Callithrix jacchus: one gene and its partners. The protein of the gene in region 3 purifies or fractionates together with the protein of the main gene of each other region. This does not show direct contact. Links are inferred from orthologs where the notes say so. Each region holds a gene or a part of one and is shown on either strand. Other genes may lie near its edges.

Region 1 (3,074 bases), on a different chromosome or scaffold from region 3:
ATGGTCCTTCTTTTCCTGAGGATTGTTCACTCACTTGCCTGCTCCTTGGCTGACCCTCAAAAGCCACAAAAAGAGCCTTGGGAAATCAGGAGGAAATGTAGGGAAAAGACAAGCAAGGAAATAATTGGAAACTGCTATACCTGGATTAAAGTACTAGCATCTCTAAGGACAATTATTAGCAGGGGAGACAGGTGCTGGATTCCTTGGCTAAGGCATTGAATGAAAACTGCTGGGTAAACAGTGGAAGGATAATGAGAAGCTGAGGAGCACTCTTTACCTACTTCAAGCTTCTTTCCTAAGCTGTAGAGAAAGGAAGGTTAAGTGCTGATGAGCAGATAAGAAAGGCAAGCAGCACAAAACCAACAAGAATTTGCTCCCACTGCAATTTGCAGAGGAAGTTTTTCCAATGTTTTCAATCTGTTGATAACCAGAGTTAACAGAAAGGGAACCAACCATGGAAATAATAATTCACTGGCTAGATCCAATCCAAAATTGGTCTCACAACCTAGGTCTGAAGATATGCTGAGTGGGATTTGGGATAAAGAAGACAGGAGATATAGAAGAAATAGCATCACCTAGGCACGGCCCAGGCACTGGAAGCTCTTGTGTTAGTGTTTTAACAACACAAGCAAATCCTGTCAATGAAGACAGAACAGGGGTTACATTCCAAAATATAATTATTTAAGAAAGGCAAAATGCAGCAGCTAAATCCCAGTCTATACAGTTTCAGAATAGTGATTCTTGCCCCCAGGAGTTTCCATAGACCCCCTCAAGTGCACCATGATTATTTACAAATTAGATAGGAAACATCATTTCTATACTCAATACAAATCTCATCTTCTGGGTTGAAAACTTCAGCCTTTGAGAAATCTATGAAAACAACTATACAAAAATATAAATATCTTTATCTTTACAGACTGTCAGTCCTTCATATCCTGACAGCTAATGAGTGAAAAAGCTCTACAGATCATTGAACCCATGGTTGCAGATAAAAAATATATCTTGTGATTCAAATACTGCCTTATTTCCCTGGTAAAGAGTGCCTACTGTGACTTTTCTTTACGTCCTGTGAAGGTAATAGTGAATGAAACCTTCAAGCACCAGGAGGCTGGTTTGATTTGAGAAATTTCCAGCCCCATGATTTTTTATTTTGGCCACTGTCTCTGGTCTGGGGAGATAATGCATTTTATTTTAGCTGTCTCCTGACTGATATAACCTGTGGAAGAGGTAGGGCTCCCTCTATGCCTACCTCCAAAATATATATTCCCAGTAAAAATCCCTGGTAATGTTTAATGATCTTTTCAATACCCACAAAAATAAGGGAGAGCTATTTTTTTTAAGATCTCAAAATAATTACCTTAATAATAAAAGTTAAAAGCATCCCTACTTTACCGAAGGCTTGAATTTGTTAATTCTGGTTGCAAAGGTGACAGAATGGGAGCTACTTGGGATATGAAAAAAGAAAATTTTGCTGAATGACACAAAGTCTTTCACTTTGGTATTCCATGGTACCCATCCTCTCTCTCACTATTCTTTAAACATCAACTAAAAAGTTATCTCTTCTGGATCCCTTTGCACAAGTCCATCACATTCCTTAGATTTCAGACTTAATCCAACAGCTACGAGTTATAGTTCAGTCCACAGCAACTCCAAAGTTGCAAACAGCTCTTTCTCTTGGGGGGAAGAATTAGAAACCACTGTGGGGCCAGAGTCTTGTTATAAATTCCTTGGGTAAGAGGGGCACCTCGTGTTCAGCAACGAATCACATCTTCTTAGAGAGGATGAGGGGACCCAGCACCACAAGTGAGGTAACACATTTTAACATGATCAGAATTTCAGAGTACTTCTTATACCAGGGTCAGCACCCTACCCCCTTTCTCCATCATTATCCACTGCATCATTGAAGTCAAGGATCCAAGTTCCAAGACACAAACAAACAGATACCTGCAGAGAAAGGAGGTGAAATCAATTTCCCCTCACAGCCTGGCTTCTGCTCAAGGACAAGTAAGTTCATTTCCCTGCAGAACCTGGTGAAGCCCCCAAGTTGCCCAATTTAGCCATAACAGGTGCCAATGTAGGCATCACCTTGCTTTCCCGGCCTTCCTGGTCATTCCCTGTTAAGTTCATTTTGTGTCCAACTGACCCAACTTTGGCAGCTATAGGTGCCAAACAAGGCATCACTTTGAGATTCTGACCATCTACATCACTGGAAGGATTAGCTACTTTTAAACCTAGAGGGGCCAACTTTGGCATAGGCCTCCACAAAGTATCTGTGCTGTTGCTGTTCTCCAGGCCAGTCTTCATGTGTAGGATCGGGGGTGAGGACACACTTTCAGGCTCTGCAGGGAGGCCAGAAGTATTCTTCCCTCCATCAGTATCTTTTTTGTTGGAAAGAAGTGAATCCTTTATTTCGGAGTCAATGACAATCTTAAGGACATCTGGCTCAGAGGCTGGTTCTGCAAGTTGTTTTTCATTCTCAGAAAAGTCATCATCTTCTAAGTGCAAGAGGAGGGGACTGATGGAGTCACTCTCCCCTTGAACATCAGGCAACTCTTTCAAACCAGCTCCCAAGTGCTCAACCTGGAAAGTTGCTCTGTTTCCAGGAGGAACCTTACTGATAAAAGACTGCCGAGCATCCCCTGGGAACTCTGTATCCACAGAGCTGGGTAGTTCAGCCAGGCTAACAGAGTCATCATTTAGTTGTTGATTAAGAAAGGCAATTTCATTGAGCAGTGAAGTCAGTGTTTCATCAGTATCATCCTCATCTTCCATGTTAGTTAGCAGTTCACTGGGATCAAGAGCTGCTTCCTCTATAGCTGATGTTACTTTCCTCAGTTCCATCTCTATGCTTGAGTCCTTGAGATCTTTTATCTTTAATTTATGAAATGAAGACTCCTTTGACTTCACTCTCTCTCCTCTCAATTCACTCTCTTTCCATTTATACTGAATCCCTCTCCTATCACCAGAAATCTTTTTAGGTAAGAACTCTTGTGCTTCCTGCATACTGGAAACATCAACTATTTGTGGATAACCAGAATCTTTGTTTGCCAAAAAAATCTGCGATGGACCCAACG
Region 2 (3,656 bases), on a different chromosome or scaffold from region 3:
AACTTCTGCCTCCCAGGTTGAAGCAATTCTACTGCTTCAGTCTCCTGAGTAGCTGTGATTACAGGCGCCCATCCCCAGCCCAGCTAATTTTTGTGGTTTTTTTTTTTAGTTGAGACAAGGTTTCACCATGTTGAGCATGCTGGTCTCAATCCCCTAACCTCATGATCCAGTTACCCCAGCGTCCCTAAAATTACTAACTTCATCACACCTAGTTCTGTAAAGGTTTTTTTGAACCAGAGCACGAAGTTGGCAAGCCGGTTGTTGGTGTAGGGTGATCTTACTTTCACGTCTATTAATTGATACTCATTTTCTTTTTTACAGCAGTTCTAAAAAATCCATAGAAATAGTCATCTCAGCCTTACATTGTATCAGGGGTCAGCAACCTTTCCCCCTAAAGTGTCATGTAGTAATTATTTTCTGCTTTTCGGGCCACAGGTCTCTTGTCTCTACATCTCTGCTCATCTAAACGGATGAGTGTGGATGTGTTCCAATGGTACTTCATTTGTGGGCACTAAAATTCAAATTACGTATAATTTAGTTTGAAATATTTTTCCAACCATTTAAAAACGTAAAAATATTTTTAGTTTGCAAACCATACAAAAGACTGGATTTAGCTTTTGGTTTACCAGCCCACTCTATACCATTTCCCAATTTGAACACCCAGCAAAAATTGAAAATGTCTAATGCTTCAGAATCATTATGTCTTAAAACATGGCATTGGAGGTCCCAACCCTAGACATGATATGACATACTAATTTGGGGTGGGAATTGGGAATTTACATTTGTTCAGCCGTTTGAATTATTCTGTTACAGTAAAGTTTACTTCACTTGGAAGTAAAATAGCAGATTTCTCTCAAAAGACTTGTCGGGCCTGGGTGCAGTGGCTAACACCTGTAATTCTGGCACTTTGGGAGTCCAGGGCTGGAGGATTACATGAGACCAGGAATTTAAGACCAGCTGCGAGAGACCCCTTCTCTTTTTTTTTTTTTTAAGTGTTTTAAGTTAGCTGGGTATGGTGGTGCATGCCTGTAGTCCCAGCTACTGGGCGAGTGGGGAGTGGGAGCTGAGGCAGGGGATTGCTTGACCCAGGAGTTGGGAATCTTCAGTGAGCTGATCGCATCACCGCACTCAAGTCTGGGCAACAAAGCAAGACCCTGTCTCCGGGGTCGGGAGAAATAAAATGTAGGGAAGGAGGAAATGATTAGTATCTGCAGTACAGAGGACTTTTTATTTCCCCAGGTGTCTATTAAAATGGATCTGGGTAATGGGGATGAATCATGTTTAATTGAATTTTTTTTTTAACAGTGCTGACAATACTTGGGAACCTGAAGAAAATTTAGATTGTCCAGAGTTGATTGAAGCATTTCTTAATTCTCAAAAAGCTGGCAAAGAAAAAGATGGTACAAAAAGAAAATCTTTATCTGACAGTGAATCTGATGACAGCAAATCAAAGAAGAAAAGAGATGCTGTAAGTATACAGTATTGCCTAGCAGCCTGTCCGTTTGTAAAAGGTTGATGGCTTGATTGATTGATTTTGAGACAGTCTCACTCTGTTGCCCAGGCTGGAGTGCAGTGGCGCAGTCTTGGCTCACTACAACCTCCCCGTCCAGTGCAAACTCCTGACCTCAGGTGATCCATCAGCCTCGCAAAGTGCTGGGATTATAGGCGTGAGCCACTGTGCCCGCCTGATGGTTTGGTTTTTTAAAAACTCAGGCTGGGCACAGTGGCTCAAGCCTGTAATCCCAACACTTTGGGAGGCCAAGGCGGGTGGATCACCAGCCTGACCAACATGGTGAAACTTCATCTCTACTAAAAGTACAAAAATTAGCCAGGTGTGGTGGCACATGCCTGTAATCCCAGCTACTCAGGAGGCTGAGGCAGGAGAATCGCTTGAACCCAGCAGGTGTAGGTTGCAGGGAGCTGAGATTGTGCCACTGCACTCCAGCCTGGGCGACAGAGTGAGACTCTGTCTCAAAAAAAAAAATCTCAACTACTTTTCTAAAAGGCCTCTTAATTCTACTTTAAATATTTTAATACTTAGGGCAATAAGAATAGGTGTGGTTTAGTCTACATTATGTAAATGTGCAGTAAGTGCTTATACCACTTGGGCAGTTTTTCTTAGTTTCATGGAGTTGATCACTGATCCAACCAATCACCCGTGATCCAAGGCTAGCAATCTTTAGTACAAACAATACTAAGATTGGATTATTGAAAGCCATTGTATTACAGTAAGAACAATGTAAAGAGAACTTTCTGATTATAGTTCATTAATGGCATTGACCATCAAAAAGTACTTGTGTGTCATCTTAGTATTGCCAAACAATGCACTGATTTTGAAGTATATAATCTTCGATAATAAAAACTGTTACACATATTCTTGGCATGAAATGAGCTATTTAGTTCCTTCAGTATACATATGCTTTGGTCCAATCTTTGCTTCACTTATATCTCTGTGGCTTCAGAAAGTCAAGTAACCTCTTACTTCTACCCTTGACTGTAAAACTAGATTATACTTGTCTTGCCTACTGACCTAGTATGGCAATTTGGGGAGATATCTTTGTGCTGAATTAGATTCTAGGCTCTGGCACTAAACAGACAATACATATTAATTGGTAAGGACTTGGGATTTGAAACTTGATCATTTGAAGTAGAAGCCAAGAAGTCTTACCTTCATGACAACTCATTGTGTATAAGGTCATAGGTATAGTCACTATTTTATGGATGAAGAAATGAGATTGACTATATATTTGGTTCTGAAAGTAAATCATGTGCTCAACAGAAGCACAGTTTTGGCCAGGCACAGTGGCTCGCACCTGTAATCCCAGCACCTTGGGAAACCAAGGCAGGAACATTGCTTGAGCCCAGGAGTTGGAGGACAGTTTGGATAACATAGTAAGACCCCGTCTCTACAAAGAAAAAAATATATCAGTCAGACGTGGTGGATGCCTAGTAGTCTTAGCTACTTGGAAGGCTGTGGCAGAAGTATTGCTTGAGCCTAGGAGATCAAGGTGCAGTGAGCTGTGATCATACCAGTGCACTTTGGCCTGGGCAACAAAGCAAGACCTTGTTACAAAAAATTATTAGATAATCGAGCACAACTTTAACAATACTTTTTGAACTGTTACCATTTGCCATACTGTGTTCCAAATCATTTGCATTTCATGTGCTGTGAAATACCTATGCAGTAGATACTAAAATTCTATTTTATTAACCTTACCACAAAGAGGTTAATTAACTTGCCCAAAGCCACACAGCTCATGAGCAGGGTAGGTCTGTCATTCTCACCCAGGCAGTGTGACGCCAGAGCCTGTCACATTGATATAAAACTCTGATGGGGCGGGGCGTGGTGGTAGCTCACACCTGAAATCCCAGCACTTTGGGAGGCCAAGACATACAGATCATCTGAGGTTGGGAATTCGACACCAGCCTGACAAACATGGAGAAACCCTGTCTCTGTTAAAAATAAAAAATTAGCCGGGTATGGTGGCACATACCTGTAATCCCAGCTACTTGGGAGGCTGAGGCAGGAGAATCACTTGAACCTGGGAGGCAGAGTTTGCAGTGAGCCAAGATCACACCATTGCATTCCAGCCTGAGGGACAAAAGTGAAATTCTCAAAAAAAAAAAAAAAAAAAAAAAAAAAAGATAGGGGCTGG
Region 3 (3,656 bases):
TTGAGTGCTTCTACTGGGAATTATGCTAAATTCTTAAGGAACAGCTCCGGTTATAAATGACTGCTTTAACTGGGAGCTAGTCTAACTGTAACAAAGTCTGTTTTCTCCTGTTTAGTGCAGTTAGGCCTGGGCTGGACACACAGACACCACTGCTCCCTCCTGCTCTTCACTGCACTGTGATCTCATACCAGGGTGAGTATGGGGAGATGCAGCCTCTCAGACGGTCTCAGACCCTCACTTGTCCTTGCTATGACTTTCTAGTACCCAGCAAGTGGGCTAGGGAATATCTGTGCTCAGCTTCTAGAGTGCCAGGTCACATCTGGTTTGAATGGTAAATCCCATACAATTTAACAGATATTTCTAAACAGTAAAAGGAACTAATGTTACTCTCAACTGGAAGCCAGCTGAGGACTTCACATTCCACTAAACTAGTTGTCAAACTTCTGTAAAGGGTGAGCCAGTAAATATTTTTGGCTTTGCAAGTCATACTATCCCTGTCACAATCCCTTAACTCTGCCACTATAGTATAAAAGCAGCCAGAGACACAGTATGTAAACAAATGGGCATGTAGCTGTGTCCTGATAAAAGTATTTCTAAGAACAAGAAGGTCAGTTTGCCAACCCCCACATCTTCATGGTCAGGCTCTGGTCAATTGGGCCCATGTGCACAGACTTGAAATGAGACTCTAAGAGAAGCCTCAGGCATGATCAAAGGCTCAGCCAGATTCAGCAATTACAGTCTGAAGCAGCTCATGGCATAGGGAAAAAGCCCAAAGTCCCCAGTGCCCTGGCTGAGACCACACCTTACTTTTGGAACTTTAAGAGAGGAAAATTCTTGGTGGTTCTTCTAAGAAGCAACTATGAAGCCACCTTAACCAGGTCTGAATTCTGGTGATCCTGACAAAGATAACTCATCTTGTGAGCTTTCGGTTCCTCATCTTTAAGATGAGAATAATGACTACTTGATTTGTTGTTAGTTGAAACAAGTTAAAGGGTATGAAGTGCCTTGAGCAGTGTCAGTATGAGACACACAGTGCACATGCACACAACGGCTCTGAAGCAAACTCTGCCTCCCAGGTTCAAGCAACTCTCCTGCCTCAGTCTCCCAAGTTGCTGGGATTACAGGCGCCTATCATCACGCCCGGCTAATTTTTTGTATTTTTAGTAGACACAGCGTTTCAGTGTGTTAGCCAGGATGGTCTCAATCTCCAGAACTCATGATCCGCCTGCTTTGGCCTCCCAAAGTGCTGAGATTACAGGCATGAGCCATGGCGCCTGGCCTTGGATATTTTAAAAATGCAGGGTTACCTACTTCTCTGGGAGCCGGAACATCCAATCTGGTTTCTGCTGGAGCTTTGACTGCAATGACGATCTGTTCGTGGAAGGCCTGAATGCTATGAATGTCTTGATATGTCACATATGCTAGTGTAAAACTCAGTCAAGGATCTCTATGCAGAATGCTATTTATTGGGGAGATAATTTATCTCTAGTAACTCAGTAACACAAGGGTAATGTTAGAATGTCTTTAGTTTTTATGAGATACAAGTTCACAATGAAGGAAAGCAGTAAAAAAAAAATTCATTGATCATTTTTATTATTCACAAAGATTTTGTAGTGTTTTACAATATTTCCTCAACCTAAAGAGTTTAAGCTATACTATTATAATGATAATTTCTAGAGAAAAATATTAATAAAGTCCAAATCCCTAACACAAATATAGCTCATGAAGAAATTCAAATTTTCATTTGATTCCCTTTTCAGCTACAGTAAGCTAGATCTTACTATAACTTTAAGAAAAAACATTCAGGACTCATCCCCTAAAATCCATAAAAAGGTGTAAACAACTTAGAGACTGTTTCTCAAGACTGTTATGTTCATTACTTCATCCGAAATGATTTTCCTTCTCACTATCTGAGTCTCTTTCGTCCTGTTTCACTGTACTGTCTCAAATTTTACCTCAAATTTACTGGGTTTCCCTAGCACTGTTTTTTTTCCCAATTGGCTGCAGTAATGTTGGTGCTTATTTTTCTTTTCCTTCCAATAACTGTACTGTAGGAATAGAGGTTTCTGACTGCTAGAGAGTTTTAAGTAAATCTGAGGTATGGAATATCTTAGAATCAGTGACCCCCTCACAAAGGGTACCACGGGAACAGCACAGTGTACAGGTCTAAGACACCTAGGAGGTCAGTACCAAAGACAAGGCTCCCCCAGGCCCATTCCCCAGTTCCCAGAGACACTGAGTTTCAAAGGAAAACTGCTATTAAGCAAAACATGCTTCTGTGGACACAAATGGCAGTTGAAGCACCACTTACTTCAATGGCAATTCACTCTGTTTCAGAATCAACTTCCGTTTACAAATTTCTAGGAAAAACATGAATTTCACAAAAGCCAACAAAAATTTATTATCTTTACAGTATTCAGACTATAAAAATGAATGCTCCACTGTTTTAAGTGGCAGCATTGACCTTGGTTTGATACTATACCCGAGGTCATCTTCCAGAATTTAATCTAAGAAACGCCACACCGAAGTTAAAACAACCTACTGCGTACGCTGTGTATGTTTGAGGCTACACTACCAACTTGTACTTACTTAAACTTGTTTTTTGTTGAGATGGAGCTTCGTTCTTGCAATGGCACAATGTTGGCTCACCACAATCTCCACCCCCCCAGGTTCAAGCAATTCTCCCGCCTCAGCTTCACGAGTAGCTGGGATTACAGGCATGCGCCACCACGCCCGGCTAATTTTGTATTACTTTAGCTTGCAATGGTCTAATTTTATATTTTAAATATATAAATTAAGTCCCCAAGCTGACTCTACTATCTAAGTAATCTGCTCTGGAAGGAGAAATTTTAAAAACGTACAGACTTAAAGGATATCTTCCATTTTCTTTGTCATCTGTTAACGCAAACAGCTGCTGAGCACAATCCTTAATTAACTCATCCAAAGCATCTTCCATTGCTGATAAGTCAGAAAGTTCCTCCTGCAGCTTCTTTTGTTGAGGAACTGCTCCAAAATTGCTAAGATCAGATCCTCTTTAAAAGAAAAAAAAATCACCATCAATACCAACTAGGAGATAACAAAGGAATTTGACGTTAGGTTATGGAACCTCAAATGTTTACCATGGGTGTTTTCCACAACAGAAAGTAGGGACTTTCAACTTCTGCCGTCTTTGTTCTAGACAGCCATTATTCCTCCTGTATATAAATTATTCATAGTTCCTCTTACAGTCTTTTGCAAAAAATAAAAAATACATTACACTCTAACAGAAATTAATAATAGCAGAGACAGCCTAAGGAAGCAGAAAGAGCACTGAACTAAGAGTCAGTAATATCCAGCTTAAGCCTCAGTCCTATACTTACAACACAGCTTCTGGTAAGTTAGTGGCAATCTTATAGTACTTGAATTCCTACATATGAAAAAAAAAAGTGTTGGCTAAATGATGGTTCCTCTGCTAAAATGTGATGAGTCTGTATTTTTCCCTAGTGTATGCATTCCATCTGAATACAACAGTTATATTCATTATCATAAAAAAGACGTATTTTCTGGCCAGGCTTGGTGGCTCACACCTGTAATCCTAGCACTTTGGGAGGCTGAGGAGGGCAGATCACCTGAGGTCAGGAGTTTGAGACCAGCCTGGCCAACATGGTGAAACCCCG

What was found. Proteins that work in one complex are often made in the same cells at the same time.
Region 1: the proteins of E2F6 (region 3) and MGA purify together in Homo sapiens (affinity purification with mass spectrometry; 3 studies listed by BioGRID and IntAct, counting the BioPlex papers as one, with this or other methods). This does not show direct contact. The link is inferred for Callithrix jacchus from reciprocal best matches to the Homo sapiens genes E2F6 and MGA.
Region 2: the proteins of E2F6 (region 3) and CBX3 purify together in Homo sapiens (affinity purification with mass spectrometry; 4 studies listed by BioGRID and IntAct, with this or other methods). This does not show direct contact. The link is inferred for Callithrix jacchus from reciprocal best matches to the Homo sapiens genes E2F6 and CBX3.

Annotation. Positions count from the first base shown.
Region 1 is NC_133509.1:44,834,276-44,837,349, forward strand, and holds part of MGA (MAX gene-associated protein), read right to left. Parts: coding exon 2,011-3,074; 3' UTR 1-2,010. UniProt on the Homo sapiens protein: Functions as a dual-specificity transcription factor, regulating the expression of both MAX-network and T-box family target genes. Functions as a repressor or an activator.
Region 2 is NC_133512.1:31,891,566-31,895,221, reverse strand, and holds part of CBX3 (chromobox protein homolog 3), read left to right. Parts: intron 1-1,305; coding exon 1,306-1,468; intron 1,469-3,656.
Region 3 is NC_133515.1:103,596,138-103,599,793, reverse strand, and holds part of E2F6 (transcription factor E2F6), read right to left. Parts: intron 3,033-3,656; coding exon 2,877-3,032; intron 1,427-2,876; coding exon 1,312-1,426; coding exon of another isoform or gene 1,308-1,311; intron 1-1,307. UniProt on the Homo sapiens protein: Inhibitor of E2F-dependent transcription. Binds DNA cooperatively with DP proteins through the E2 recognition site, 5'-TTTC[CG]CGC-3'. Has a preference for the 5'-TTTCCCGC-3' E2F recognition site.